Linked DNA regions of Pelodiscus sinensis. The protein of the gene in region 1 purifies or fractionates together with the protein of each later gene. This does not show direct contact. Links are inferred from orthologs where the notes say so. Each region holds a gene or a part of one and is shown in the gene's direction. Other genes may lie near its edges.

Region 1 (7,120 bases):
GTGGAAAAACCGACTTTATCAGATGAATTGGAGTGGAAGTTATAGAAGCAGGGGGTATATTTAAGGAAGAAGTTGCTTGTGTGAATGAAGCTAATCAAGTCAGGGTGGAAGTGGGTCATTTATAGCATTTGTATGGAGATGTGAATATCCAGAGAGGAGAAATTGCCTTTGTAATGCGGTAACCAGTTGAGATCCTAATTCAATCCTAAATTGATAGTGTTGAATTTGTAAATGAATTCCAGGTCAGCTGTCTCCCTTTGTATCCGGTTTTTTAAATCCGTTCAAATCCATTACTGACTGTCCAAGGAGGTTAAAATGTATCCCTACAGGTTTATGTGTGTTACCATTCCTGAACTTCATTACAAAGGCAATTTCCCCTCTCTGAATAGTCACATCTCCACGTCAAATACTATGAATAACTAGGTTGACCATACATACTGATTTTTCCGGGACTGTCCTGATTTAAAGGACTCTTTCCTGGTCCCGCATCAAGTAGTGAAATGTCCTGGAAAGCCCTGCTGGAAAGTCCCCCACTACTTGACGGGGACTCAAACGGGAAGAAGTGACTGTGAGTCCATTGCTCCAGGTGCGGCGCAGCATCAACAGCGTGTTCCCAGCTGGGGCGGGCTTTTGGTGGCACGTAGTTTCTGACCACTTCATCACCCATTGCCCCACCACCGCACAGCCCCCTTCTTACTCCATGGGACTGCCTCTGTCAGATGGGGTCCGGGTCCAGCTGTACAGCCTCCTCCTCCACACGTGCAGGCGGTGGCTTGTTACAGCAGCCACTCATGTTGGGAGAGAGAGGGTGGCTGAGTAGGGTTGCCAGGTGTCCAGTTTTGAACTGGACAGTCCAGTATTTGAGCTTTCTGTTCGGGAAACAAGTTGAGAAAATAGAAACGAGAAAATAGAAATGTCCGGTATTTTCTAAATAAGATGTAATGTAGATTGTGATGTCATATCAAGTGTGTCCGGTATCTTTATTGAAACCATCTGGCAACCCTATGGCCGGGTCCAAGGTCTGAGTAGCCGCTCCCGAACTTTAGCACTTTTGAACTGCTGCCTGAGCCCCGGCAGGGGACGCGCAGAATCCTTGGGGCGGGCTGCCGCTCTCTCTCCCCCGCACCCCTCCCCGCCCCGCTGGGGGAATGGCAGTGAGCCTGGTCTGGCGAGGTATGTTGGGGTTTCTTCACACACCCCCATGCTCTGTCAGTGGGAAGCCTGACCTGGTGCTGCAGCCCCGTGGATGCACTGGGATCCCCGCTGCATGTGGGGGGGGACTGAGTTCCTGTTCTGTTCCCCCCTGCAGGGGGAATGACAGCGTGCAGTCTGGAGGCTTTCCCTGCTGCAATGGGGTGCCAAGCCAGATAAGCACCCCCCTCATGCTAAGGCCCCGCACCCAAATCCCCCTCACTCACTCCCCTCCCCCCTCTAAGATCCTGCATTCCTGGCTTGCTCTGACACCCTCCCTTGCTCCTGCACTCTCCCTCCTGGCCAGACACCCTACCCCAAACCCCTTCCTGTACATTCCTTCCTGGCCAGACATCCTCCCTCCTGGCCAGAAACCCTACCCCCAGACTACTCCTGCACCCTCCTTTCTGGTCAGGGACCCTATGCCCAGCCTGTCTCTGCACCCAACCTCCCACCCAGACGTCTCAACCTCTCCCCTTTCTGCACGTACCTCCCAGATTCTGAACCTCATCCCTATCCCACACATTGGCAGCCCTGTCCTGCACACGGAACCCCCTTTTTTTTCCACGCCTGAGCCTAGGCTCACCATGGGCAGGGGCTGCTCAGGCCAACAAGGAGCTGAGCCCTTCACGACGGGGTTGCTGCCGCTAAGCAGCCCCTGTTCACAGTGGCCTGGGCTGTCTGACGTGAACAGGGGCAGCTGGACTCAGCGCAAGCCGGGACCAAGCATTCCTGGCTCGTGCTGGTTGCTACACCTCTGAATTTTAAATGTACTAAGAGTCCGGCAGCTCTTACTACATTTAAAATGCAGAATTGCAGTCTGGGTGGCTCCCAGACCCGGCACGAGCCAGGACTGCTGAGTCTCAGCTTGAGCCAGCTCCTGAAGCTACCCTCAACTACACGATTAGCTTGATAACCGCAATTTAACATCCTTTCCTTGAACCTCGTTCCTCTTGGTCCCATCCCCTCACCCTGTGGGGCTAGGATGCCAGAAGAGTGAGGTGTCTCAGTTAAGGGCCAGCTCAGTGTGGGTTGGGGGTTTTTGGAGGAATTTTTTTGCTTCTGGCTTGTGTGGCCCCCAGCTGATTTTTTTGTGGGTTAGTGGCCCCCCAACCCAAAAAAGGTTCCCCCCCCTGCCATAAATAAAGAAAAAATTGAAACCTTTTGTGTTGGTCATAAATTAATATTTTACTGTATTTAAAATGAAGTTTGATAAACTAACACAAGAAAGTTAAAACGCTTAATCTATTTAACAATTTAAGTCAAACCATTCTCCCTAGCTGCAGCACTAGCAAAACGGCTTGAGAGTAATTACGTAATTCACAGTGAGTTTCCATTAGCAAATGGTGGTCTGCAGAAAGGTTTACACTGAGCCAGGTGGTTCATGGGCCAAAAAATTTGAGAGCCACTGAAATACAGGCAACCCTGGCCTCTTCCCCCGAGTTAATGCAATGCAAGTTGGATTAATGCAATTTCAGTATGGTTGCATGGGAGGGTCCTATGGGGGCCAAACCCATCCCTATTGGCAGAGGACAGTGGGAGGAGTTCTTAGAGGCGTCACACGATACCCTTTACTTCCAGTCATGTGTCCATCTTAACCCTGGAAGTACTACCTCCGGGGGTGGGACTTTATGTAGCAGGTGGGCAGGGACTAAGAGATCAGGGGATGTGGCTAATGAGGCTGGGGGCGTGGCCAATGTGTCCTTTTTTTGGTTCAGAAAATATGATCACCGTATGAATAATCCACTTTCCCCCCCTGGCTTGATTAGCTTCATTAACACAAGTAACTTCTCCCTTATATATACTCCTGCTTTTGTAACTTGCGTTCCAATTCATCTGATGAAGTGGGTTTTACCTACGAAAACTTATGCTCTAATAAATCTGTTAGTCTCTAAAGTGCCACAGGACTCCTCATTGTTTCTGCAGACACAGATTAACACGACGACCCCTCTGATAGTGGTAGTAGTGTTGGAACACTAGGTGGGCTTTACCCTTCGGTCACTTGCTCAGATGAGTACCATAGTACTGGCAGATGGGACACGTCCATGCAATGACACGGGATGACCCCAGCTATTAGGGGAAATGCACTTAATGCAGTGCCAGGCCAGAGCGTTGCAGGGATGCCCATCTGGAAATAGTTTTCCACAGTGGTACCTGCAGGAGGGGGTGCAATGGCTTATCCCACCCCCCAGGCTGACCCCAACTGAGGCACACACAAGGGCTAGAAGTTGATACTCTATAGGCTACGTCTAGACTGGCATGATTTTCCAGAAATGCTTTTAATGGAAAAGTTTTCCAAGTTTTCCGTTAAAAGCATTTTCGGAACAGAGCGTCTAGATTGGCATGGGACGCTTTTCCGCAAAAGCACTTTTTGCGGAAAAGCGTCCGTGCCAATCTAGATGCGCTTTTCCGCAAAAAAGCCCTGATCACCATTTTCGCGATCGGGGCTTTTTTGCGGAAAACAAAGCTGAGCTGTCTACGCTGGCCCTTCTGTGCAAAAGTTTTTCGGAAAAAGACTTTTGCCCGAATGGGAGCAGCATAGTATTTCCGCAAAAGCACTGACAATCTTACATGAGATCGTCGGTGCTTCTGAGGAAATTCAAGCGGCCAGTGTAGACAGCTGGCAAGTTTTTCCGCAAAAGCAGCTGATTTTGCAGAAAAACTTGCCAGTCTAGACACAGCCATAGTGTCTGTATGCAGGTGACCACTGGTTGGTGACTGGCCCTTTAAGAAGACCTGCGCACGAGCCAGGGTCCATGTCCCCCTAGATGCCCTACACTGGAAAATGGCGGCTCCCAGGGGAACTTCAGCCGCTAGCGCCTTCCCCCCTCCCACGTGATCCGGAGAGCGCGCTCACCGCCCCTCTGGACCCGCCCCCCCCGAGCCCGCTCCGGCGCTCGGATTGGCCGCGCGGGCCGGGCAGTGGGCTGTGATTGGCGGCCGATGGCGCGAAGGGCGCGCGGCGCCGGAGCCGCACGCAGGGGGCAGGAAACAATAGAGCGGCGGCTGGCGGGGACGGAGGGAGGCGAGGAGCCGGCTGGCCGCACCGCCTGCACCTTCGCCATGGCGGACAAGGAGGGTAGGCGAGAGCGCGGGGCTGAGGCGCGGGCCCCCGGCCGGCTGGGGGCCCCTCCCCCCTCCGGGGGACGCGCGCGCTGTGCTCCTACCTCAGGCTGTGGAGAACCTGCCGGGGGGAGGGGCTGCCTCAGTGGCGGGGGGAGGGGCCGCGCCCTCGGTCTCTGGGGAGCTGCTCTGAGCCCCCCCCCTTGCTCCCCCTTTCCCCCCGCCGAGACACAGCCCTCCCCGGAAGGGCTGGGGGCGGGGCTCCGCTCCGAGGCTGGGGACGGGGGCGTGTCTCCACCCGCGCGCGTCTCTGTTGGGGGGGGGGGGGGTCAGGCCGCGGCCCCCTCCCGCCTCCCTCGGGCGCGCCGTCCCCGCCAGGGCCTGCTCCAGTGGGGGGGGGTCACCTGGGGGTCTCCAGGAGGTTCCCTTCCGGGGTCCCCCCCCCACTGCGGGGCCGCGCAAGATGCGCTCCCGCTCCGCGCTCCCTGGGGGGCTGCAATGGGCCGCGAGTGCGCTTGGCTCGTGCCCCCCCCCCGCTTCCCTGGGCCGCCCCCTGCTGCTGCGCGCTCTGCCCCGAGGGGAGGCCAGGAGGCTGCCACCTGCGGCCCCCAAACCTCCTCGGTCTGCGTGTTGGGCTCCGATCTCGCTCAGGCTGCTTTGGGGATGTTGAACGGGTCAGCATCCCCCTTGCCCCCGGTTACCGTTAACCTGGAGCAGCCCCCGGCCTGATGCGGGCAGGGACTGTTCCCGCCCAGCGGGGTCTGCCGCAGGTGGGGGACGCTCAAGCCTAGCATGCGACGGGCAGGTCCGACCGGAGCAGCATGGGTGCGCCTCAATCTGGTCCCATTTAAGCGGTTAACTAGTTAAACATCACTTTTAACCAATTAACACATGAATTGGGGTTTTGCATCCTTAATCTGGAGTCTAATCCCATATTTACTTTGGCGTTTTTATGGGATTCCTAGGTCGCTCGAACCTGCGTAGTATTAAAGAGATTTATTTTTTAATGTTCAATGAAACCACTTTTACAGGAAAAAAAAATGCTGCTCTAAATTGTGGAGAGCTTTGCACCTTCTTTAAAGTAACTTTTAGTGAAGGGTGAGTTGGTAGGTGTAGATTCAACTCATCTGTCTCACAAAGAGAGATGGACAGGACTCTATTGGTTGATTTAGGACTAGTAGCCTTAATGGGGCTGTTTCTAGTATGAAGTGAGCCCAGGCATTGCTTCCTTGTGTATTTAATTTGTATTGCTTCCTACAACTATTGGTTCTAGATTAGACTTCTTTATCTGAAGAGAGAGGTGATTGCATGTGCTGCAGGAGTTTTTTAATCTAGTAGTTGGCTTTTTGTGGAAGTATGGTGTATGCATCAGTAGTGTTGCTATCAGATAAGCCAGGGGTGGGGAACCTCATGCACAGGGGCTGCATGCACAGGGAACTGTCCTCTGGCTTGCCTGGATCCAGCCCCTGAGGCTCAGGGCCCCCCTGCTTCATGTTGGGGAGTTTGTGCTAGTGCTTCAGCCCCCCCCCCCCCCCACTGCAGAGCTGGAGCACACAATCTACTAAACTGGGCCCTTTCAAGGCTCTGGTGTGTGAGAGGAGAGGTGGGGAGTCTTTCTCCTTCTCAGTTTGCGGCCACGTCAGGGTGTGTGAAGATTTTGTTTTTGTTCTCACCTGTGTGTGTGGCCCCTGACTGACTTTTTTCTTCTTCTGTGGGTCAATGACCCCCCCCCCACCCAAAAAAGCTTCCCCATGTACATTCATTGTCTTGTTGACCATTTATAAATACTTGTCCATATTTTTGTGCATCTTTAAAAAACTTTAGCAGCCTTTGATGATGCGGTGGAGGAACGTGTGATCAATGAGGAATATAAAATTTGGAAAAAGAACACTCCTTTCCTGTATGATCTGGTAATGACCCATGCTCTGGAGTGGCCCAGCTTGACTGCTCAGTGGCTTCCTGATGTAACAAGGTAAATTTATCCTCTGACTTTTTGAATGATGAAAAAAGTCACTATCGCGTTTCACATTGCATCAAGACTCTGTAGTTGCTGTCTTCCATGACCAGCAATTTGTGCTCTTGCCTTATCCTTAGTGAGTTGAGGACTGTTACGGCACACCATGTTAACCAATATCTCCACTCCTTTTTGTTTAAAAAATGAACTGCTGTTTGGCAGAATATTTTCACCTCTATTTAAAGTACAGCCGGTCCCCTGCTTACTGACAAGTTACGTACCAAACACTTGGTTGTAACTCCATTTGTTTGTAAGTCGGACCCCATTCGTTTAAATGCGGCCGTACTGTTCGTAAGTGTGGATCGTGTTCGTAACTCGAGGACCGGCTGTATAACTGTTCTCTGATCTCTTCCTGTCCATCCTACCCCAGAGACAAACTTAAAAGTAATCACTGTCATCCCCCTAAATTACTGAACCAATTTATTTTCCATCTTCTGCTTGTTCAAAGTGCTAATAAACCTCAAGACTTTACTCCACTAGAAGCTCCTTGGGGGAATATCAGAGATACTATAGATGGGCAAAGAAAACAAGTGAACTTTGATGCTATAAGGACTCCAGTATGAGAGAGGACAGTGGTCTCCAGCCTTTTTAAGCACAAGCTCACTCTTTGAATTTCAGTCCAGGATCTACCTGAAACCCAATTACCCCTGCTTCACCCCTTCTGCAAGGCCTCACCCTCCTCACTCTGTGAAGATGGGGTACAGAAGAGGGGGACAGAGTGACATCAATGCTTCCCTGCCTCTTGTCTCCCCCATTCTGCACAATAAGCAGGAGGCTCCTGGAGCAGCTCAGGGGCTCTGGGCAGGAGCAGCTGGGCAGTGAGGGGGGACAGCTAAAGTGCTGCAGGCACTT
Region 2 (7,472 bases), on another chromosome or scaffold:
GTACCTCCACTGCCGCTGCCAAAGCCGCCCCCTCCGTTGTTATAGCCGTCGTAGTTGCTACTGCCACCGTAACCTCTGCTTCCTCCTGAGTAGCTAGGGCCGCCACCGCCGCCGCCACCGTAACCTACAAGACATGCACACACACAGCTGCTGAATTCAAGCATTTCACAGCCCAAAGTCCACGGACAGAACTAGAGACTCCCCTGAGCACGGATCCCAGCACGTGTGCTGGTCAATCAAGAGATTTGCCTCGGAAACCGTCACCAATCCGTGCAACACACTCAGCACAACTGTTCTATCAGCCGTCCACCAGGCCAAGGGACTGGAGTGGAGATGCCTTCCTCATGCTTCTTCCTGGGCTTGGCACCATGGAGCCTGGAAACAAGGCAACCTTGGCCACTGCCGTGTCAGGGGAGTTATGCTTTGGCCTTACCCTCATTGCTAAATCCATTATAGCCGTCTCCACCTCCTCCATAGCCACCACCGCGGCTGCCACCAAACCCACCTGAAAAGAACAAACCTTTGTGTTCAGTCTATCCGAGGAGGGACACTGCCAGGTGCTGGGGCCCAGGGCATATGGTTGGCAAGCCACTTTTACAGAATGAAGCAGACATGTCAATTGGTGGAGGTTGTTGCAGGGAATCAGGGATTCCAAGCGGTACCTGAACAAGTCCTTGTAGCATTGGTTTGAACGCATGAGCCAAACAAGGAGAATTACACTTAGTCCAGTGCCCAAATCAAGTTAAAAAAATATCCATAGCCAAAACTGCAGCAGCCATTTGGGTTAACCTAGGGGCCGAAACTGGAGTTTTGTTAGCCTGACCATATCCGTAGAACTTGAATCAAAAGGACCCCATAAAGTCCCTTACCACGACCACTGAAGTTGCTGCCACGGTTGAAGTTGTCATTGCCACCAAATCCACCTCCACGGCCGCCACCACCACTGAAGTTCCCAGAGCCACTGCGGCCTAAAGAAGAGAGCAGCGCCTGTTAGCAGCACGGCTCATATTGCCAAAGGTCGGTTTGGATGAGTTCCAAAGCAATGGATGGGAAACTGGCACTCACCTCGTTGACTGGATGATGCACTGGCCATTTCTTGCTTTGACAGGGCTTTCCTCACTTCGCAGTTGTGGCCGTTCACAGTGTGATACTTCTGAACTGGAAGGGAAGAATTAGACGTTAACTGTCACCGTGTCCTGATTTGAAACCCAGGACGGGTCCCCTTCCAATGCTATACAATCTTTACAGTTCACAGAGCTGTGCAGAGAACTTACTAACAATCTTGTCCACAGAGTCGTGGTCATCAAAGGTGACAAATGCAAAGCCCCTCTTCTTGCCGCTCCCACGGTCTGTCATGATCTCAATCACTTCGATTTTGCCGTACTGTTCAAAGTAGTCTCGCAGGTGGTGTTCCTCTGTGTCTTCCTTAATTCCCCCCACGAAGATTTTCTTCACTGTCAGGTGAGCACCAGGCCTCTGAGAATCCTAGACAGGACAGAGGGCAAGCTCAAGCATTATCTGAGATGTACAATTTTAGAGCTCCATAAACAGTGGTTCGAAATGCAACAGTCCCATTGCTCAAAGACAGAGACAATGCAAAATCGTGATACGTGTCCACCACAAATTAAACTGGTCCCCATTTACAATTACTTGTACAGGATGCATCTCTATAAACCAGAATGGTTTAACCCTAACCCTTCCGGGCCACAGATGTTCCAAGATGTCCCAGTCCTGGCACACTGTGGGGGGTCCAGGAGCCTGGCCGAGGGAAGGGGGGGGGGGGAAGAGAGAGAGAGAGAGAAGAGGCAGGGCAAAAGCTGGTGTGGGAGCCAGCTGAGCTGTGAAAAAAGCGAGGGGGTGGGGGTGGGGGAGACAGCAGGGGGCCAGAAATGACCTGTGAAAAATCCCTCATCTGGGATCAGTCGGGTCCCAATGGTACCGGACAAGGGAGGTCCAACCTGTAGTAACTACTAATGTGGTCCTGCTTTAAGTACATATTCTGGTAGACAGCACAGCAAGGAAACGCAGCATTGGCAGTTACAGACAGCACGATTAATGTAAGCAGGGTACTGCTTTCCCCAAACCACAAAGAGAATGGAAACGACCCACCTCAGTTTAACCCCTGGGTTATAGCCAAACTATGGTCACTTTAACCTCAACTCCTCCCTACAGAGCCCCACTGGATCAGTTCATCCTAACAGTGAGCCAATTTCAGGCTATGAAAACAGCATGGTTAGACTAAACATTCATTCATACCTCTCTGGATACAGCCCTCTTTGGTTCAACAACTCTGCCATCAACTTTGTGTGGTCTAGCATTCATGGCGGCATCAACCTCTTCAACCGTAGAGTACGTAACAAACCCAAAGCCCCTGGAGCGCTTGGTATTTGGATCTCTCATTACCTAGAAAGGACACACCTCCATTAGTAACCACAGTAAATAACACGAATCAAACAGGTGGCATAAAGACGAGAACAAAGGAACATCTAAAGTTATTTAGCACTAGCTTTGCCCTACAACTTTCCCTCTGCCCAAAGCTGGGACCTCATGGATCATTTGGTAATTTCCCTGTTCTGCTCATTCCCTCTAAAACTGCATTTGATACCAGCCACCCTTGGAAGACAGAGGCTACTGGACAGCATGGCCATTCCTCTGCAGGATTCCGTCTAACCCTAAATTTGCCGTTAGACCCCTTACTCCCCTGGAACAGTAGTTTACAGATGTCAGTAAAAACAAATTATTCAGCTCTTCCCGTGGCATCAAAAAAAAAAAAAAAAAAAAAAAAAAGGCAGCCGGGCCATGCAATCAGAGTCCTTCCCCCACATCTGAATGTTATTATCTAACACCCAGAGGATGCTCTGGGCCAGGCACTCACCACGCAGTCTGTCAGCGTGCCCCATTGCTCGAAGTGGCCCCGCAGGCTCTCGTCTGTGGTCTCAAAGCTCAGGCCGCCGATGAAGAGCTTGCGCAGCTGCTCAGGTTCCTTGGGGGACTGGGGAAGAGGCACAAAAACGAGTCAGGAAGGAGCAGCCAACAGGGCCCGTCCCCTGCTCCCCCCTCCCCAGGAGATGCCCAGAGCAAGAGATTGCACAATGACTTACAGGCTACCCTCCCCCCCCCAGAGGGCCCCCCCGTGCACACCAACCCCCCCACCCCCTCCCCCCGCAGAGGGCCCCCCCCTGCACACCAACCCCCCCACCCCCCTCCCCCCGCAGAGGGCCCCCCCCTGCACACCAACCCCCCCTCCCCCTCCCCCCGCAGAGGGCCCCCCCCGTGCACACCAACCCCTCCCCCCGCAGAGGGCCCCCCCCGTGCACACCAACCCCTCCCCCCGCAGAGGGCCCCCCCCGTGCACACCAACCCCCCCTCCCCCTCCCCCCGCAGAGGGCCCCCCCCGTGCACACCAACCCCCCCCTCCCCCTCCCCCCGCAGAGGGCCCCCCCCGTGCACACCAACCCCCCCTCCCCCTCCCCCCGCAGAGGGCCCCCCCCGTGCACACCAACCCCCCCTCCCCCTCCCCCCGCAGAGGGCCCCCCCCGTGCACACCAACCCCCCCTCCCCCCTAGAGGGCTTGCAGCCCTGGCGCGCGGGAGCCGCCACGCACGCGCACGCGAGGCCCGCCACGCGCTCGCCCGGCCGCCATGGCGCTCCTCCGGCTCTGCACAAAGGCGGGCGCGCACGCGCACATGGGAGCGCGGGAGGCTCACTCCCCCCCCCCATATCCCCACCACACAGGCGCCGAAGGGCCGCCCACCTGGGAAGGGGGGTAAAGCGCAGGCGCGAAGGCTGAGGCGGCGCAGGCGCAGAAGGGGGGGGAGCCTCCGCGGGCTGGACGGAAGCCCGAGCAGGCCTGAAAGGCGTAAGGCGCGGCCGAACGCGGCGAGGTCCGCGCCCCAGCAGGGCCCAGGGGAGGCCGCGCCGGCGGCGGGGAGCGGAGAAAATGGCGGCCGGAGCCGGGCTCACCTCGGACTTGGACATGGCGGGGGCGGGCGGGCGCGGGCCTCCGCCTCAGAAGTGCTGCGCGTGCGATGCTTCCTCCGCGAGGCGCCGATACAGAAAGGGCTGAATGACGAGAGCGTCGACGCCTCACTCCACCGCCCCCTCTTAGAGCCCCGCCCGCCGCGCGCTCCCATTGGAGGCGGCGGTCGGGGCACACCCCCTCCCCGCCTCCGATTGGATAGCCACGAGAGGCCGACACATCTCATTGGCGGAGGAGATCCGTGACCCACCCACTGCTACAGCCTACTGGCTAAGCCTGCGTAAGCCCCGCCTATTGACGCATCACGTGGCCGTGCGTGCCTTCCCTCCCTTCCTCCCTCCCCCAACCTTTTCCCGCGTTACTGGCGAGAGGCTGTAGCTCGCCTCTGATTGGTTCGCTCATGGACAGTCCCGCTCTAATCTGCGCAGTGATTGGCTGCTGCCGCTAGACGTGGGACTTGACTGGATGGCGGCAGTGTCAATCACTCGGGTGGGGGCGGAGGCGGCTCCCATTGAGGCGGGGGGCGAGCGGCTTTTTCTCCCTAGCACCAGCCCGCGCGCTTTGCCTCTGTGGAACGTGCGGAGCCGGGCTCCTGCCTGGCAGCCTGCGGGAAAAAGGGACTAAAGCCCACAGGTGCTCGTCTGCGCATGCGCTAGCGGAACCCGGAGCAAGCGCCCGAAGAGGCGGGGGGAGGGAGAGGACGGGCCGCGCATGCGCCGTGCGGGGAGCCAGGCGCCTGCGCGCTAGGGGGGCTATTTTGGCGGGCGGCGAGCGTTGCGCAGAAGCGGCCTCGGCTCTGAGGGCCTGCGAGAGGGGGGAGTCCGCGCCGGACCCGCTTCGTCCCCAGGTACCCGGGCGGCGGCGGGGCGGCTGAGCCGGGACATCGGGCTGCTGGGCTCGGGGCGGAGGGGGAGACGGGCTCATTGTGCGGAATGAAAGGGGTTAGGGGGCGGGCCCGCGGCCACTGACGGACAGCTCGGCCGGCCAATGGAGGGGCGGGGGCGGGGCAGAGGCGCGTGACGGGCAGTGGGGGGTGCTGGTGCCCGTCGCGCGGGAGTTGGGAGTGGCAGCCGGCTGCGCCAATGGGGCGCCGCCTGGGGGGAAAGGGCGGGGCCTTCCCGGTTGATTGATGGCGCGGCGGGCCAAAGGGCGCGCGGTGTCGGGTTGTTTCCTCCCGATGGGCGGGACAATCGGCGCCCCGCTCTGGGCTGGGGGGGGGAGGCGGCTGGGACACGGGGCGCGCCCCCGAGTCTGGGCTGGGGGAGCCGAGCCCCGCCCCCTCGCGTCCCCCTCGGCCTCTGCCCCCCCCGCTCCCCATCCCCCGCCCTGCCCCCCCCGCGGGCGGTGCCCCCCCATCGCCCCGCCCCCCGCTGCCTCCCCCCCGTGCCTCTGCCTTGCCCCCCCCACCCTGCCCTTTCCTCGGCCTGTGCCCCCCCCGCCCCCGTGCTACAACCCCCCCGTGTTGTGCCCCCCATCCCCTCTCTGCGCCTCCCCCCCGGCCTCCCGCAGTCCCGCTGTAAATCCTTCGTTCTGCTCCCGCCCCGCATTCCTGCGCTCCCTTGTCCTGGAAACTTCTCAGCTCTGTCTCTGCCACATCTCCTGTGCTGCCCTCTCCCCCCGCCCCTCCTCCTCCCTTTCCCACCCAGATCCTTGTCAGCCCCTCACTGCTCCTGCAGCCCCCCTCGCTGACTCCCCACGAGCTTCTCATGCTGCTCCTACCCCTTGTACTAGCTGCCCTGCCCTGTCCTGTCCTTCAGCCCCTCTGTTCCCTGCAATAGTCCCTGTGCTCCCCCTCAACCCTTCCCCTGCTGTTTTTCCCTGAGATCCCCTCCATTTCTCTGTCAACAGCCCTTCATCTGGGGTTCTCCCTATCCCCACTTGCCTGCTGTTTTAGTGAGAACCGAACCTGGGACCTCTGGATTAGTGTGTCAGCAGCTTGAGCTAAAAGCCAGCTGGTTCTCTGCAACATCTTGTTCCCTACTGCTCAGTCCCTCCTGGATATCTATAAATCCCACTAACCACAATTCCTGCTAATCCCAGTCTCCTGCAAACCTCCCCTCATGCACTCCCTCCAATGCCCTGCATCCTCTGTGTCCATCTCTTGGATCCCCTGCAAATCTCTTCCTCAGAAAAATCCTCTGCAACTCACCCCACCAGCTGCCCACCACAGATCTTATATCCTCCCCCCAATCTTCTGCCACGCACCCTCTTATGCTTGTCACTACCCCCCTGGGATCTCCTTCAACTTCCTCCCCAAGATTCCCTGCAATTCCCCTATCTCCCCCCACCCATGTCCTGCAAACAATCCCCCAGCTCTACTGCCCTGTCCCCTGAAAACATCCCCCCCCCTTTAGCCCTCCTCATCTTCCCACACAAAGATCTATAGCTCTCAGGCAGCCCTTTCTCCCCTCAAACAACCCTCATTCCTTTCTCTACCTTCACCATCCTCTGTAACTGCCCATCCATGGCTGCCTGATTGGGGGGCCACAAACTGTACTCTGCTCTGCAACCCATTTTGCCCCGCCCGGCCCCTACTCCACCCCTTCCCCAAGCCCTGTCCCTGCCTTGCCTCCAATGCAACCCTTTCCCAAAGCCCCTGCCTCCAGGTGATGCTATCTGTGAGATTACAGGGGGTTTGGCATAGGGCAGCAGCAAGGGTCAAGTCCCCCCCCCCCCCCCCCCACTGTGTACCCAGCAGCATTTTCTCTTCTGCCCTGCTACCCATCTCCTAGCTGAGTCACTCCATTTCCTGCTGTTGCAGCGAAGTGGAACCAGAGTCACTCCACTTCCTGCTGCTGCAGTGAAGTGGAGCGAGCTAACTGGGAGATGGCGGCAGAGTGGAGCAGGCTGCCTGTGAGTGGGATAGGGATGCCAACCTTTGCTACTGCCCAGAGCCAGCCCTCCTCCTCTCCCCCTCCCCCAAGTTATCCTTCAGACCCATCCTGGACCTTGTGGGCTAATGTCATTATGAGGGACCATCCCGTCTGTAGGACGGGTGGGGCAGCTACAGCAGGCTCTGGGGTTTGTCTGCACATGGGAAAATTAATCTGGAATAAGACAGGATGTGAAGTTATAGTGGCTCATAACTATCTGTAACCCACTGTTTCTTCTTTGTCCTGTGACTGTAGTAGAGTTAGTTGCTCACTTCTCTCTGCGGGTGTGTCTATACAGCACTCTTCACTCAGAATTAGCTACACAAATTGCGCTACGCAAATTGCATAGCTTATTTTGAGTGTATTTCAAAATAACTCACTATTCCAAAATGCCCCATAACCCTCATGGAACAAGGGTTACCAGGACGTCGGAATAAGCGGCCTGTGATTTCAAAATTGATTTCGAAATAACGGGCTGCTTCAATAGACATGGAATAGCTATTTTGGGATACTTCCGGTATCCCGAAATAGCTCTGCAGTGTGGATGTATCCTGAGTGGCCGCTTGCAATACATGTTTACTCCTTACCTGTTCTACACTTGTATTTAGCTGTAACACTCC
Region 3 (7,105 bases), on another chromosome or scaffold:
TTTGCAAAATTCACTGCAGAATTCTGGCTATTGATACACACAGCTGTAATTCATTAGCACACATATTGTGCTTCTTATCTTCAAAACAATTTAGTTGCTAATTCATTACCGCTCTCTACACCTTGTGAAGCAGTAAGAATTATTGTCCAGTGTTACAGACAGAGAAACTGAGGCAGAGAGTCTAGTGACACATTCCTTGTGTCAGAACCTGGGCTTCAGAAGTCAGAAGTTCCTGGTTGTGTTTCAAATTAGCATATTGTGCTGAGAGAGATTCCCTTTTGTTACCTCATTTTAAAAACAAGGAAGAACAAAAAGTATAGAAAATGAACCAGAGACTAGCTAAGGTGAGACTCACATTAGCAGATGTTAACCCACACCTGTCAACTGGTTTACAGATACCACCAGGCTAAACAACCTCCTTGATGTACCAATCACTCTAATTCCCACTGAAGTAAATGTGGTGTACAGGTCTTCAGCACTGTACGGGATCATGCCATACATGAGCTATCTTTACATGTACACTTAAATCACAGCTACCTATTTGTATATACTAGTGGAGCCAATAATGTATATGCAAACTTGAACCAAACACTGACCAGTCTGGGGATGTGATTATTTTCTACCGCTAATGTACCTGATGCAAAGTGCTCCACTTAGGAAGGAACAATCAGTTTCACACATAGGCTACGTCTACACTGGCCCCTTTTCCAAAAGGGGCATGCTAATTTTAAACTTCAGAATAGGGAAATCTGCGGGGGATTTAAATATACCCCGCGGGATTTAAATAAAGATGTCTGCCGCTTTTTTTCCAGCTTAGGGAAAAGCCGGAAAAAAGCGTCTAGACTGGCCCGATCCTCCAGAATAAAGCCCTTTTCCGGAGGATCTCTTATTCCTACTTTGAAGTAGGAATAAGAGATCCTCCGGAAAAGGGCTTTATTCCGGAGGATCGCGCCAGTCTAGATGCTTTTTTCCGGCTTTTCCCCAAGCCGGAAAAAAAGCGGCGGACATGTTTATTTAAATCCGCGGGGGATATTTAAATCCCCCGCGGATTTCCCTATTCTGACTTACCTGCTTTGCATCCCTTTTCTGGAATTTGGGGCCAGTGTAGACGTAGCCCTACAGAATGGGAAGCGACTGTCTAGGAAGGAGTACGGCAGAAAGGGATCTAGGGGTTATAGTGGACCACAAGCTGAATATGAGTCAGCAGTGTGATGCTGTTGCAAAAAAAGCAAACATGATTCTTGGATGCATTAAAAGGAGTGTTGTGAGCAAGACACGAGAAGTCATTCTTCCGCTCTACTCTGCGCTAGCTAGGCCTCAGTTGGGCTATGTCTATAGTCGCGGCTTCTTGCGCAAGTACGGCTGTTATTGCACAAGAATCTGCAGAGCGTCCACACTGCCCGCCCGCTCTTGCGCAAGGAAATTTACAGTACGGCGTGGTAAGAGAGGGCTCCTTGTGCAAGAATTACGCTCTTTTTTATCAGGTGTAAGCCCTTTTGCGCAGGAGCTCTTGTGCAAGAGGGCAGTGTGGATGCTCAGCAGGGATTTCTTGTGCAAGAAAGCCCTATGGCTAAAATGGCCATCAGAGCTTTCTTGCACAAGAGAGCATCTACACTGCCATGGGAACTCTTGCGCAAAAGCACAGCTTGCACATGGGCAATGTGGACGTTTTCTTGCACAAGACTTCTTGCACAAGAAGCCTTGTGCAAGAAGCCGCCAATGTAGACATAGCTTTGGAGTATTGTGTTCAGTTCTGGGCACCGCATTTCAAGAAGGATGTGGAGAAATTGGAGAGGGTCCAGAGAAGAGCAACAAGAATGATTTTAGAGAAGAAGGAAGGTCTAGAGAACATGACCTATGAAGGAAGGCTGAAAGAATTGGGTTTGTTTAGTTTAGAAAAGAGAAGATTGAGGGGGGACATGATAGCAGTTTTCAGGTATCTAAAAGGGTGTCATAAGGAGGGAGAGAGAAAACTTGTTCATCTTGGCCTCTGAGGATAGAACAAGAAGCAATGGGCTTAAACTGCAGCAAGGGAGATTTAGGTTGGATTTTAGGAAAAAATTCCTAACTGTCAGGGTAGTCAAACACTGGAATAAATTGCTCAGGGAGGTTGTGGAATCTCCATCTCTAGAGACATTTAAGAGTAGGTTAGATAAATGTCTATAAGGGATGGTCTAGATAGTATTTGGTCCTGTCATGAGGGCAGGGGACTGGACTCCATGACCTGTCGAGGTCCCTTCCAGTCCTAGTATTCTATGATTTTATGATCTACACTCGAGTTACAGGTGCAGAAAACCAAGTTTTAGTTTTATTACCTGTTGATACATCCTGGGCAGATCACTGATCCATTGCTTAGAGCCCTGGAAATGTACTTTAATCTCTCTTAGGAGCCTTCCTAGTTGAGTAAACCTGCTGTTTACCAGTTCAACTGCATAGGTGTCTCTGCCCCCAGTTGCTTACAGTCTAAGTAACGAATGAACAAAGCAAATCTAAAAGGAACATGTCTGCAGTTATTGGATACAAACTTTGGCCCCAATCTTGCAAAATTCACCGTAGGATTCCAGCCATTGACACACATTCTTGCATCTGACAAAGTGTTTTTTAACCACAAAAGCTGCCCAAATAAATCTGTTAGGCTGTGTCTACACTGGCCACTTATTCTGGAAAATCAGCCGCTTTTCCGGAATAACTTGCCAGTTGTCTATACTGGCCCCTTGAATTTCCGGAAAAGCACTGACGATCTACTGTAAGAAATCAGCCGCTTTTCCGGAAATACTATGCTGCTCCCGTTCGGGCAAAAGCCCTTTTTCCAGAAAACTGTTCTGGAAAAGGGCCAGTGTAGACAGCACAGTAGTGTTTTCCGCAAAAAAGCCCTGATCGCAAAAATGACGATCAGGGCTTTTTTGCGGAAAAGCGCGTCTAGATTGGCCACGGACACTTTTCCGGAAAAAGTGCTTTTCCGGAAAAGCATCCTGCCAATGTAGACGCGCTTTTTCCGGAAATACTTATAACGGAAAACTGTTCCGTTTTAAGCATTTCCGTAAATTCATGCCCGTGTAGACATAGCCTTAGTCTTTAAGGTGCCATAGGATTAGTTGTTACTGTCTACAGGTGTTCAGGACCAGTCATGGCTCATTGTTTTCCTGTTCTTCCCCCATCTTCCTGAAGCCATCAGTATATTTGTCTTGTATATAGATTATAGATAAGACAACAAGCTGTTTGGGCTGGGACCTGTCTTTTCGTTCTGGGTTTGTACAGCGCTTAGCACAACAGGGTCCTGGTCCATGACTACTAGGTGCTACAATAATACAAATAATAATAAGTCCTATGCATTTGTATACAACAGTTGTGGAGAAGAGAACGCTCCTTCCTGACGCTCACCTTTTCACTAAGCCTTTCCCACTGCTCTTCCAAAACAGGTTCCTGTGCTCTTTGTGAGAGTCTTGTCCTGCATGGGTTGGTATAGCAGTGTAAAGTAGAGGATTGAGATTTGGGAGACCAGAGCTCCCCAGTCTGCCACAGCTCTCAGGCAAATCATTTATGCTCCGTGCCTCAGTTTCCCTATGAGGGTAATATATCTACTTCTCACCCCAAGGCCTGTTGCAAGGGTCAGCCTTGCGTGTTTGCATGCTGTCCTAAGAGAGCAGGGTGAAGACAGTAGACAAGTAGGATAATGGAGTTACAGGAGTTAATGCTTGGGTGGAAGCTGCTAGGACAAGGCACAGTGTATCAGAAAAGACTCACTCGCGGCGCTGCCTGCAGCCGGGCTGCCAAGGCGGGAATCACGGCACGACCGCACCGCTCCCTTGGCCCTAGGACTTTGCCTTTCCAAAGTGCTCCTAGCACGGTAACAGGTAGGCTCCGAAAGTGCTTCAAGTGCAGCGAGACATGAAAGCGAAGCGGCTGCGAGCGCTAACTTCGCTCCCCGACGTGCAGGCGCATGTCCCACGGACCTGAGCGGCGACCGGGCACCGAGCTCCGCTTTTGCACAAAGCCCTGCGTGTTTTGGGGAGAGGGCGTGACCTAGGTTGCAGGTTTGGCTCCAGCTTTCCCGCCCCTGATAGGCGGGATCGAAGTGACGCGTTTGAGCGAAAGGCCAATCTCGCGTGGGGGGCGTTCCCATCCATTCAGGACTCCTCGCCTGGGCTTTGAGGGTATGTAACAGCTGCTTTCAATTTAGTCGCAAAAATATTGGGCATTTTGAGGGTTGAGGTGAGGATTTAAGACCTCCCGGCCCAAAGCAGGCCAGAACCCGAGGGGAGAAAGGGGGCGGTAGGAGGAGCTGTTGCGAATCAGGGTGGGCGAGGGACTGAGCTGGCGGATCCGTTGAGGAAGAGAGGAGAAATTAAAAGCCGTTTCCCCCTGGGTTTAGCTTTGCCTTTTGCCCTCGTCTCTGTCCGGAGATCCGAGAAGAGCAGGCGTTTGGCCGGGTGGTGTGCGTGCTGCTGGTGTTTGTTTAACAACGCGCTGGGTTCCATGCAGTTCGGGGGAAGAAGGAGGAGGAGCAAGGACAGCTCGGTTCCCCCGCCCCTTATTTTGCTTGGCATAAACAAAGCTGCGCTGCGGGTCGGGGTCCCGCGAGGAGGTTTAGGAGTTTGAGGAGTAGATTGAAGGGTGACTTTTGCAGCTCAGCTCGGTGCGTGGTTTTGCAGGCGCTGCCAGAGCGTGGATCTAGTTTACAAATCCCAAGGCCGGATGTCTTACTCGCAGGGAGGGCGGAATCGGCACCCGTAGATTTGTGCTTCTCTACGTGAAACTTGTTGGGGCGGGGGCGGGTGAATGGATCTGCCAAGAGGCAGCCGCCTGCAGGGGGGCGCGGGTTGCAGCTCCAGCTTCCCTCTCTCTGAACTGGCAGCTGCGTGATTGTTATTTTTAAAATCACGCTAAAACGAGCGTAGCTGAAGCCCCGCTGGTCCGAGCGGAGCCTCTCGCAGCTGCCGTGGCGTTCCGTTGCCGAACGCAAAGTAGCCAGGCGGGGGGTGAACGTTCCACCGCCGAACCCGCTAATGTTCTGTTGCCGAACGCTCGCTAGTTCCTGTGCCCCGAACCCACTTTGCGCCCCAAGCCGGAGCAGTAGCCTTCCTGCTCTCATCCCTCGGCGGATTGAGCCTGATTCCCTTTGCAAACATGGAGTTGCATCTTTCCACCCCGCCTCCTCTGCCGGTGGGAGGGAAAGATGGACAGCCTCGGGGTAGGGCTATCCCCTTTTCTCTCGCAGTCGGCTGGCCCTTGCTGCTCTCGTGCACGGTGGCCCAGAGTAGTTTCAGGCAGCAAAAGAGCTGGGAAGGTCGGGAATGGGGGGGGGGGGGGGGGGGAATTGGTCCGGCTCTGACCCGAGGAAAGGAAACGCTGCAGATAGGGCGATCATCAGCTGCAGGAGACAGGGAAGGAGGTTTAGGGTGTGGAGTAATCTGCCTGGAATTAACTACCGCGACGGACAGGCCCTCTCCATGGTGGACTCGCGGTTCAAGGGAGGAAAGGGCTTTCCTCGTGCTACCCAAGTGAGTGAGGCCGCGCGCCGGCCGCCAGCAAGACTGGCTTGTGCGGGGCGGAAGCAGCTGGCTGGAAAGGGAAGGGTTAGCGTTACAGTTTACAAGGCGTGGATTTGGGGAGGAAAAGGAGGGGACTCTGCCTCTCCAGCCCAAATGCGGGAATCCACTTCCGCGTCCTGCCAGCCTGAGCCGCTTTCCCTCTCCTTTGCTATTTGCTCCTTCAGCTATGCAAGCGGCGTTCCCTACCGAGCCACTGCAGGGGAGCTGTTAGAGTGAATACGCAGCACACGCACTGCCTCCCCCTCCGTACAGTCACTGGGCGGGATGAGCCCTTCTCCTATTGGAGAACTAGAGCCATCCCTTCTTCCTTATTGGCTAGGATTCCTAAATCGCTCCGCCCAGCTGAAGTCCTGGCTGTTTTTCAGGCTGGTGTTCCCCTCCCCTCCTACCCCAAATGGCAAAGGGCTCCCTAATTCCGGCGGGGCGAGGGAGGAGGGATGTTTTCCTCTCCTTGGAGCTGATTGGTAGAAACGAAAACATCGACCCACCTCCTTTCTGTCTCCGAAAGGGAGGGAGAATGGGGGAGGGGGAGAAGGCAGGTCCGGTGTCTCCCCCGTCCTCCCCCCACGTGTAATAGATCCGCCCCACGTGGGGCGCAGCCATCCCGGAAGTGAAGCTGCGCAGTTAATGCGGGGCAGGGCTTAGGGACAAAAGGATTCTCCCGCAGATCAGTCAGTTGATGAGCTCCCCGGCAAAGGGAAAGGCATTCCTTCCCCCATCCCCCGACAAGCTCTCCTGCTGGGGGTTGGGCCACCTGCTAGGATGCCTCTTTCCTAATCAAATCCCTCCTCCCCACAGCAAAGGGCAGCGGTGACTGTTTAGGATATTTTCGGAGGGAGCTCTCTCCCTGCACGCTATCCCAGGCCAGCTTCCTGGGGGGGCGGGAGAGTCATCCCAGCTTCCTTCTCTGCTCTTAAAGCTTGGTAGCAAAAACACTTGGCGGCCCTGTTTCCTTGCCCCATGCTTCACGTTTTTCTTGAGCGGGAGAAGTCCAGACTGGGCTCACTCCGGAGTTTTTTAACTCGGAGACTGTAAGGAATCTACCTGGCACAGTATCTCAAATACTAGAGATCCCCGCTTATGCGTCTATGCCCCGCACTCCGCCCCATGCTCTGCCCAGTGCGCCCCCGAGGTGGACAATTGAGGGGGGAAAAAAGCAGCAGCATGAATCGAGCCCCCTCCCCCACCTTTTCCCAATTTCTTTTCGCTCCTTCCAAGTCCAGTTTGGTGCCAGAATGTTTGGACTGCCTCGAGGAAGCATAGTTGCTTCTTTGCCCCTTCTCTGGGATCTAGCCGGAAGGTAGAGTTGTGGTCCAATGCTTGGTTCTACCGCCCCTCCCCGCTCCACTCTTTGTATGGGAAAGACTTAAGGGAAACTTTTCTCCAAACATTTTGTTAAGGTGTCGGTGGCCTCCCCCAGTACTGGTGTCCTGAGCGCGTACCAGCTCCTCCCCTGCTGCGATTCCTTTCAGATCCTTGATAGATTAGCCCGTCACAAGCCGACTATGGGTTAAAGTGGCCGTAAAGCACTTTTGCTGTGGATCGTACAATGT
Region 4 (7,257 bases), on another chromosome or scaffold:
GGTAATGTTGGGCCCAGTCGTGCACCATCCCATTTTTGTGTACATAGCCTCTTCCAGCTCTGAGACCAGGGGACCTGCCCTAGATGTGGCCGTGAGGATGTCACCTGAGCCTGAACGGTGTGGTAATTAGGCTACAAGTGATGCAGGGGCCACATATTGAGAACCACTTGTTAGACAAACACCTATCAGGGATGGCCTAAATAATACTTCGTCTTGCTTCAATGCAGAAGCCTGGATTAGATGACCTAGCAATGTTCCATTCTGGTTCTGTTTTTACAATTGTACATATAAAACTGGGAAACATCACAAAAGCTCCTTTTTAATTTTGTAGAACTTAACATGTACAAGTATATTTCTTCTACTTTCTGAGATTGACAATGGACATATTTTCTATCTTTTTTCAAGGCCACAAAGCTTGTTCTTTCCACTGAGGTGGTTTAACTAGTCCTTCTCTCAACCATAATTATGACATTATTAGTAGTAGTAGTAGTAGTACTAGTAGTAGAAGTCCAAAACACTGCAATAACATTTTTGTATGATGTAGTGTCCTGGAGCATTACTGTGGTATGTTTCAGTTAACAAGCCTTTTGGATGGGCAACTAATTGCTCAATTTACATGGTCTTTGACAGGATTGGGCAAAAGGGCCTCTGGGGGCCAGATCTGGCCCACCAAGCAGGTGGATCTGGCCTGCGGAGGCTCTGCTGCTTCCCCGCCCCCAGGCCAATTAAGGATTTGAGATGGGGGAGTGCCCGATGCCTTTTCCGCTCTGCCCCCGCCCTGCGAACAGCGTGCGGCAGGGGCAGAGCGGAGAAGGATTTGTGTGATCCCCGCCCCCAGGCCTTAATTGGCCTGGGGGCGGGGGAGAGCATGAAGCCTCCTCCCGCCCTGCCAGAAGCATGTGGCTCTTTGTAGCGCTATATGCTGCTCACGGGGCGGAAGAGGGGGGATGGGAGAGAGCAGAGGAGACTTCGTGCACACCGCCGCCCGCAGGCCAATCAGGGCCTGGGGGGTGTGGGAGCTGCATAAAGCTTCCTTCGCCCTGCCCAGCCTTGCGAGGAGCCCAGGGCACTTCATAGTGTCATGTGCTCCTAGCAGGGCGGGAGGAGGCTTCCTGTGCTCTCCCGCCCCTAGGCCCTGATTGGTCTAGGGGTGGGAAAGCATGCCAAGCCTTTTCCAGGGCATGGGTGCCTAGTGGGAAGAGGGGGCAAGGGGCTCCTCCATCCCCAGACCAATCATGGTCTGGCGGTTGGGTAGCCCTGCCCCTTCCCATTTAGGCCACATTCAAAAACGTTTGCAGTGGCCCCCGGGGAAAAATTATTGCCCACCCCTGGGCTTTGATCAATACTATAATGGCCTTTTACTTATCTGGTGTAGACTGGTGAACTAGCTGAATTTGGATTAGGCCATGGGAGAAGGGAAAGCAACATGTATAAGGGAGGATATTTGAAAAGCAAGAATGTGTTACAGAAGATTGACAATGGAATAGAGAACCCAATTATGAGGTTTTTAGATTCCATAGCAGTTGAATGTTCCTGGCTGAGAGGATGAGCTGCTTTCTGAAGATTCTATGGTGGGAAAAGAGAAGCAGTAGATTTCAAAGCAATAAAATATCAAAGCAATAAAATGTAATTTGATGGTATTTTGTAACCATTAATAAAGTATTTTATTTAAACATTGTCTTTGCTAGGAGGGTTTCCCTTGCATAGGTATACTAAACTTAGTTAAATTGCAAAACCCTCTTGTTTTTTATCTGCAATTAGAAGCTTTGCTGGTATAGCTACAGCTGTACTAAGGTTTTTACCAGCTGAGTTATGTAGGCAAAAATTACACCCCTAACTAACATAACTATGATGGGAAAACTTCTAAGTCTAGACCAGGTCTGTTATGTTTATTTTTAGTTACATTAGGCAGTTCACAAATACAGAGGATAAGGTAGTTTAACATTTTTTTTGTATTATTGAATCGCTTATTATGCATCAGTCTAAATACAACAGGATAGGAAAATGTCTGATTATTGGGAGATTAGTTTCAACAGCACTTCAGACTCCTCCAACGTATCTAGGTGTTCAGTTTCCAAACATGTATATCTACATAGGCTCATCTCTTGGCGCATGTCTACACAGCAGTGTTAGTTCGGAATAACTGACATTATTCCAAAATAACAAAGAGCACATCTACACTATTAGCCTTTATTGTGAAATAATGTCGAGCTGGAGCACTTCTTACTTCAACTCTAATAAACCTCATTTTATAAGGAGTAAAGGAAGTTGAAGGAACAATGTTCTTCCTTCTACTTCCTGCTGCGTAGATAGCGCCTAAAGTTGAGCTAAGCTATTTTGATTTAAGCTATGTAATTGATGTAGCTGAAGTTGCGTAGCTTAGTTCGACTTTAGCCCTGCTGTATAGATGTACATACTAATCCAAAGGAGAAACAGACAAGACAAGAAGTATTACATGAGTCAGAAGATGGTGATTTTTTTTCTTTTTGCTTTAGTGTTTGTTACTTTTCCTTGTCATCCTTCCATGATCAATGTGTTTTAGTACTTGTGGGCCTCATTAATAAATGTAATAATTTACACTCTATTACAGGTCTTTCTAGCTGCAGTTTAATAAAACAATGGTTAGTAAGTCTGTCACATACTTAAACCTTGGTTTCCTATTTACTACCCATCCCACCAGCTATCTGCAGTTGTGATTTGGAACTCTCTGTGTGAGAACCCCTGCTCCAGCTGATGCTAAACACTTCACAAAGTATCTTTGAATACATCCCAGTCTCATTTAAGGAAACATTAATCTCTGAAATTAATAGAGAAATGTTGTATTGTGGATTCTTACATGGATCCCATTGTTACAAAACTCTTTTGACATCTTGCCTTATTAGTGTTCTAAAGTAGAGGAGGAAAGTCTACTTCAGTTTCTCTGGTATGTATAGAAAGGTATTATGTAATTCACAATGTTGTGGGTAACAATTTTAAAGAGCAGTGAAATACATAATGATTAATGTGGATAAAAGAGCAGAGCACTCCACTTTAAGATAAATAGGTGAAGGTGAGTTTCAAGTTATTATTAATTATTAATTAATAATTTAATTTAGAAGCTTGAATGCTTGTCCAAGACTGATTGTCTCAGCGGAAGTGAAGCCAATGAAACTCTTGGGCCTTATCCCCAGAAATGCAACTTATTCACCATTGAAAAGTTGTGTGCATGTATCTGTGGAAAAATATGGACCTTTTATTTAAGAGCAAATATAAAACATAGTTTGGGTGGGGAGAAGAGACAGCTAGCTCCTAGGTGCCCGTTCCTACTTCTCATCTGCCCAAAGTTTTTTCTTCTGAAGGTTCAGTCATCTGTGTCCCTCTTCTCTAGTTTTTGACCTCCATCCTTGCTACCTGCTTCTGCTTCCTTCCCAAGGAGTTTATCAGTTTTGAACAAACCACCTGGATACCTCCATTATTCAATCATTTCTTATCTGAACCCCAAATTTGAAGCTGTAGAGATTTAATCTTATGTCGTGGCTCAGCCTAGGATATGCCATGAATTTTTGTGATCTGTCTAGTTCAGGTATAAATGTATTAGTTAATCTGAAGTAAAACTTAATTAAGTAATTGCAGATAAAAGACAAAACAATACCAAAAAACTCCTTGTAAGCATTTTGGAGAATTACGGTTTGAATAAACTGAAGTTTATATATATATATATATAGTATAATGATCTTTTGTGGGCAAAACCCACTTCTTCAGATGAGATGATGAGAGGATCTTGAGTGGAGGGAAAAAAAGGGGATGTAGGGTTCTGATACTCTATGATCATTTGCCCAAGTGCCAGTCAACCAACCCAACCATTTCACGCTGTCTTCATCCAAGGCTGACAAGAGCTGCAACCAGCCGAGGGCTGGCATATTCCTAGCTCTAATTCATTAACTGTAACAATCGAGAAGTCTTTCAATTAAATCAGCACCTTTGCTGCAAAGGAGATTCCATGGAAAGATGGAAATTCCCTAATTCAAAGTGCTCACAAGCCTCAGCCTGGCAACTCCGCTATCTAATCCATGTCCATGAAGCCACAGCGAGTCTTCTCCAGATTAACTACAATTACCATAGTGCTTCGCGCAACGGCCAACCACACCAACTGCGTTCGGCGGGGGACACGCCCACTCGGGCCAATATGCACCAATAAGCGGCGCGAAGAGCCATGCGGCAGGCACTTGGGTTGCGTTGTGTGGCGTGCGGGAATGGCGCGGTTTTACTGAGGGGCGGGCAGGGGGAGGAGCTGCCGGTGGTGGCGGCAGAGGGAAGGGCGGTCCCGGCGCTCGGCGGCATCTCGGGGGAGGATGCCGGTCCATTCCCGGGAGAAGAAGGAGAACAACCACGATGAGATGGAGGTGGATTATGGGGAGAACGAGGGGAGCTCCTCGGAAGAGGAGGAAACTGAGAGCTCGTCCGTGTCCGAGGAGGGGGACAGCTCAGGTACCGGGGACCAGGGGCTGATTACAGATGCTGGGGCAGGGCGGCCGCTCGCTCGCTGGATAACGGTGCGCGCGGGGTGTGGGTGTAAGCGACTGTTAATGCCTTCGCCACAGTCTGCCCCAGCCCCCACCCGGCAACATCTGACCCCGCCCCTCCGTACGGCACCGTCTGCCCCGCCCTCCCGACACGCCCCCCCCCCTCTCCCACGGCTCGCCCCCGGCTCCCCTGCGCTGCAACTTCCGAATCGCTCCTTGGAGGAGCCGGGGCGTGCAGCCCCCCCCCCCTTCCCTGCTGGGCAACTTGTGACACACACAACCCTTTACTGGGGGCTCGGCCTGCCTGTCCCGTCTGCATGGTAGCTTGTGGATACATCCCTTCTCCCTTGTATGGCAGCGTATGGGTCCCTTCTAGCTAAGGGAATGGCCTTCCCCTTCTTCCCTGCTTGGCTGTTTCTGAGGCGCTTCTTTTCCCAAGGATACCTCCCTGCCCGCCGTTCATTCTCTTTACCTCGTGGTCACATGCTGTGCTACCATGCTCCCTCTGCATGTCAGTTTCTTCTTGCCCTATTTGCCTGATGTGGGGGCACTTTCCCTTTCTGGCAGTTTCTGACATATGCCCTTCCTGACATATGCCCTCTCACCTTCATCCTGCTCCTTCCCTGTATGACAGCTTTTCCTTATCTACCTTTCCTTGATTTAGGGGGTCACTGTCAGCTTCTTTGCCCATGCCCTGCATAGTACCTTCTCCTCAATCCCGCACCCCCACCTTTTGATATGGGAAGCAAAGCGCAATCTCCCCTCTCCATTTACTGCACTGTAGCATCTTGTCCCCTCCCAGGAGTGTGTGTGTGTGTGGGGGGGGGGGAGGGTATATTTGCCAACTCTTGCATAATATTGTCTTGTTCCCCATTTAAGGCTTTTTGAAACTGTTTAAAGAAACTCTAGATAACTTGTTATGAAAAGTTCCATAGAAAAGACTTGCCAAAGAATAAGTATAAATTTTAAAATACCACATATCACAATAAATATCCGTTAATAGTAGTGGTGGTCCAGATATGAAATGCACAAGATGGGTGAAGTGATGTCTTTTATTGGACCAACATCTGTTGGTGGACAGTACAATCTTTCCAGTAATACAGAGCTCTTCTTCAGGTCAGGAGAAGGACTTCAAGAGTGTCTGAGCTAAATACAAGTTGGGACAGACAAGCTTAGGGGTTAATGAATAATATATGCCTTCCAGCAACATAAGTTGGTTCAATAAAAGAAATACCTTAGTGTCAATTTTTCTGTTGTTTTTTAAGTTACTGTATTGCTTCTAATAAGCAAAAAGCGAGGTTGAGTTAAATAGCAAATTCTGCTTTAAAGCAAGAGAAGGAGGTTTGGCTAAAATGACATTTTGATAAGCTCACAAATTATTCCCAATTCTTACCTTCAACTTCAGCTGCTTTATTTTATCAACAGTTGTCTGGAAGTTAGATAATCAATGCACTCTATGCTTGAGAATCAAGATTCCTCCAAGCTCACTCCCTTGAGTTTAGAAATGCTATATTAGTGATGGATGTCAAAGTCACAAGTTATGTTCATCATTCCAGTATCTCAGTTTTGGCCACATTTTATAGAAGAGCTAGTTCAGAATTTTACTGTTGGCGCTGTTTTTACTATCTCCACCTTTAAACCAGGCTGCTCTAATTACCGTGTGTGCCCCCCCCCCACTCAGTCTTTGAATGGAGAAGAAATTTTAGAAACCTATCCAACTTACCAAAACAATTCTGCCATGCGTAAGTGATGATTTTTAATGTCAGATACCTTGTGGTATCCCAGGTCTAGAAACAAATGATCTTGTGAAATGAGGGATTTGATATCCCTGTCTCTAACTTCTTGCATGATGGGTAGTGAAATATCTGATACTAAACCAGTTACTTTTCTAAGACTGACTATTACCCATCGTGCTTGTCAAGTTTATGCACCTTCAGGGAAGAAATATCACATTTTGGGAGTTGAATATAATAAACTACTGGCAGTATTTTTAAAGATACTTTGTAGCTATTTGGAGTTTTGAAATGTTACCAATAATCCTAGTGGAGATGGATTAGTTGGCAGAGTGCAGGTGAGGTAGTCAGAGGTTCATGATAAATCCAGGTGAACATGAGGGTGATTTCATGTGTGATTGTATAAGTGAAACTCTGTCTTCTGCTTGGTGGAAAGTCAGACTTGCTTGAATATGTATGTATGTATGCAGCTATAGAAATGGAGGGCCTATGGTTGTATTAGTTGCAGTTGGAGGAGGGTACTATTCTCCCACATCTCAAGGTGGTGCATTCCACATTGTAGCAAATGACAGGAGTACACATCTAAGCAACCCAGTATGCTGTGCAGAAAGGAAAGGGTCCAGAGAACCACTGATTCTCAGGCATGATTGGAGTTGATGTTGCTTATCTTGATTTAAACTCCCTTGACATCTGTTTATAAAGTAAACAGCTGCTGATTAATTTAAAACAAAGCAATAGTTACAAAAATACTGAAATATATCTAGAACCTAAAACATACTGGAGACCCATCTGAATAATGGAAGATATTTTAACACCTTGTTTGCCTTTCTACTTTTGTGAGGCAGACCTCCCGAGGAGTAAATTGATGGGGTAGTTATATTAAGGATGTTAAAAAGCGGGTAACTGACTAATCAGGTAGTTGATACAATTTGTATCGACTACACGATTAGTCAATAAGGGGCCCTGAGGCTCTGCAGTTTAAATATGATAGGAGCCAGGTGTGCAGGCAGCCCAGCTTCTAT

What was found. Proteins that work in one complex are often made in the same cells at the same time.
Region 2: the proteins of RBBP4 (region 1) and CBX5 purify together in Homo sapiens (affinity purification with mass spectrometry; 6 studies listed by BioGRID and IntAct, with this or other methods). This does not show direct contact. The link is inferred for Pelodiscus sinensis from reciprocal best matches to the Homo sapiens genes RBBP4 and CBX5.
Region 3: the proteins of RBBP4 (region 1) and SIN3A purify together in Homo sapiens (affinity purification with mass spectrometry; 11 studies listed by BioGRID and IntAct, with this or other methods). This does not show direct contact. The link is inferred for Pelodiscus sinensis from reciprocal best matches to the Homo sapiens genes RBBP4 and SIN3A.
Region 4: the proteins of RBBP4 (region 1) and BRMS1L purify together in Homo sapiens (affinity purification with mass spectrometry; 5 studies listed by BioGRID and IntAct, with this or other methods). This does not show direct contact. The link is inferred for Pelodiscus sinensis from reciprocal best matches to the Homo sapiens genes RBBP4 and BRMS1L.

Annotation. Positions count from the first base shown.
Region 1 is NC_134735.1:3,390,366-3,397,485, reverse strand, and holds the start of RBBP4 (histone-binding protein RBBP4), read left to right. Parts: upstream 1-4,111; 5' UTR 4,112-4,134; coding exon 4,135-4,270; intron 4,271-4,358; exon of another isoform or gene 4,359-4,486; intron 4,487-6,078; coding exon 6,079-6,226; intron 6,227-7,120. UniProt on the Homo sapiens protein: Core histone-binding subunit that may target chromatin assembly factors, chromatin remodeling factors and histone deacetylases to their histone substrates in a manner that is regulated by nucleosomal DNA.
Region 2 is NC_134729.1:1,218,483-1,225,954, reverse strand, and holds the start of CBX5 (chromobox protein homolog 5), read left to right. Parts: upstream 1-4,457; 5' UTR 4,458-4,612; intron 4,613-4,693; exon of another isoform or gene 4,694-4,826; intron 4,827-7,472. Other genes in the region: HNRNPA1 (heterogeneous nuclear ribonucleoprotein A1), read right to left, coding at 5-124, 434-505, 870-968, 1,066-1,158, 1,275-1,485, 2,257-2,403, 2,876-2,992, 3,605-3,688. UniProt on the Homo sapiens protein: Component of heterochromatin that recognizes and binds histone H3 tails methylated at 'Lys-9' (H3K9me), leading to epigenetic repression. In contrast, it is excluded from chromatin when 'Tyr-41' of histone H3 is phosphorylated (H3Y41ph).
Region 3 is NC_134724.1:34,507,282-34,514,386, forward strand, and holds the start of SIN3A (paired amphipathic helix protein Sin3a), read left to right. Parts: upstream 1-4,090; 5' UTR 4,091-4,154; intron 4,155-7,105. UniProt on the Homo sapiens protein: Acts as a transcriptional repressor. Corepressor for REST. Interacts with MXI1 to repress MYC responsive genes and antagonize MYC oncogenic activities. Also interacts with MXD1-MAX heterodimers to repress transcription by tethering SIN3A to DNA.
Region 4 is NC_134714.1:47,686,220-47,693,476, reverse strand, and holds the start of BRMS1L (breast cancer metastasis-suppressor 1-like protein), read left to right. Parts: upstream 1-4,242; 5' UTR 4,243-4,331; coding exon 4,332-4,467; intron 4,468-7,257. UniProt on the Homo sapiens protein: Involved in the histone deacetylase (HDAC1)-dependent transcriptional repression activity. When overexpressed in lung cancer cell line that lacks p53/TP53 expression, inhibits cell growth.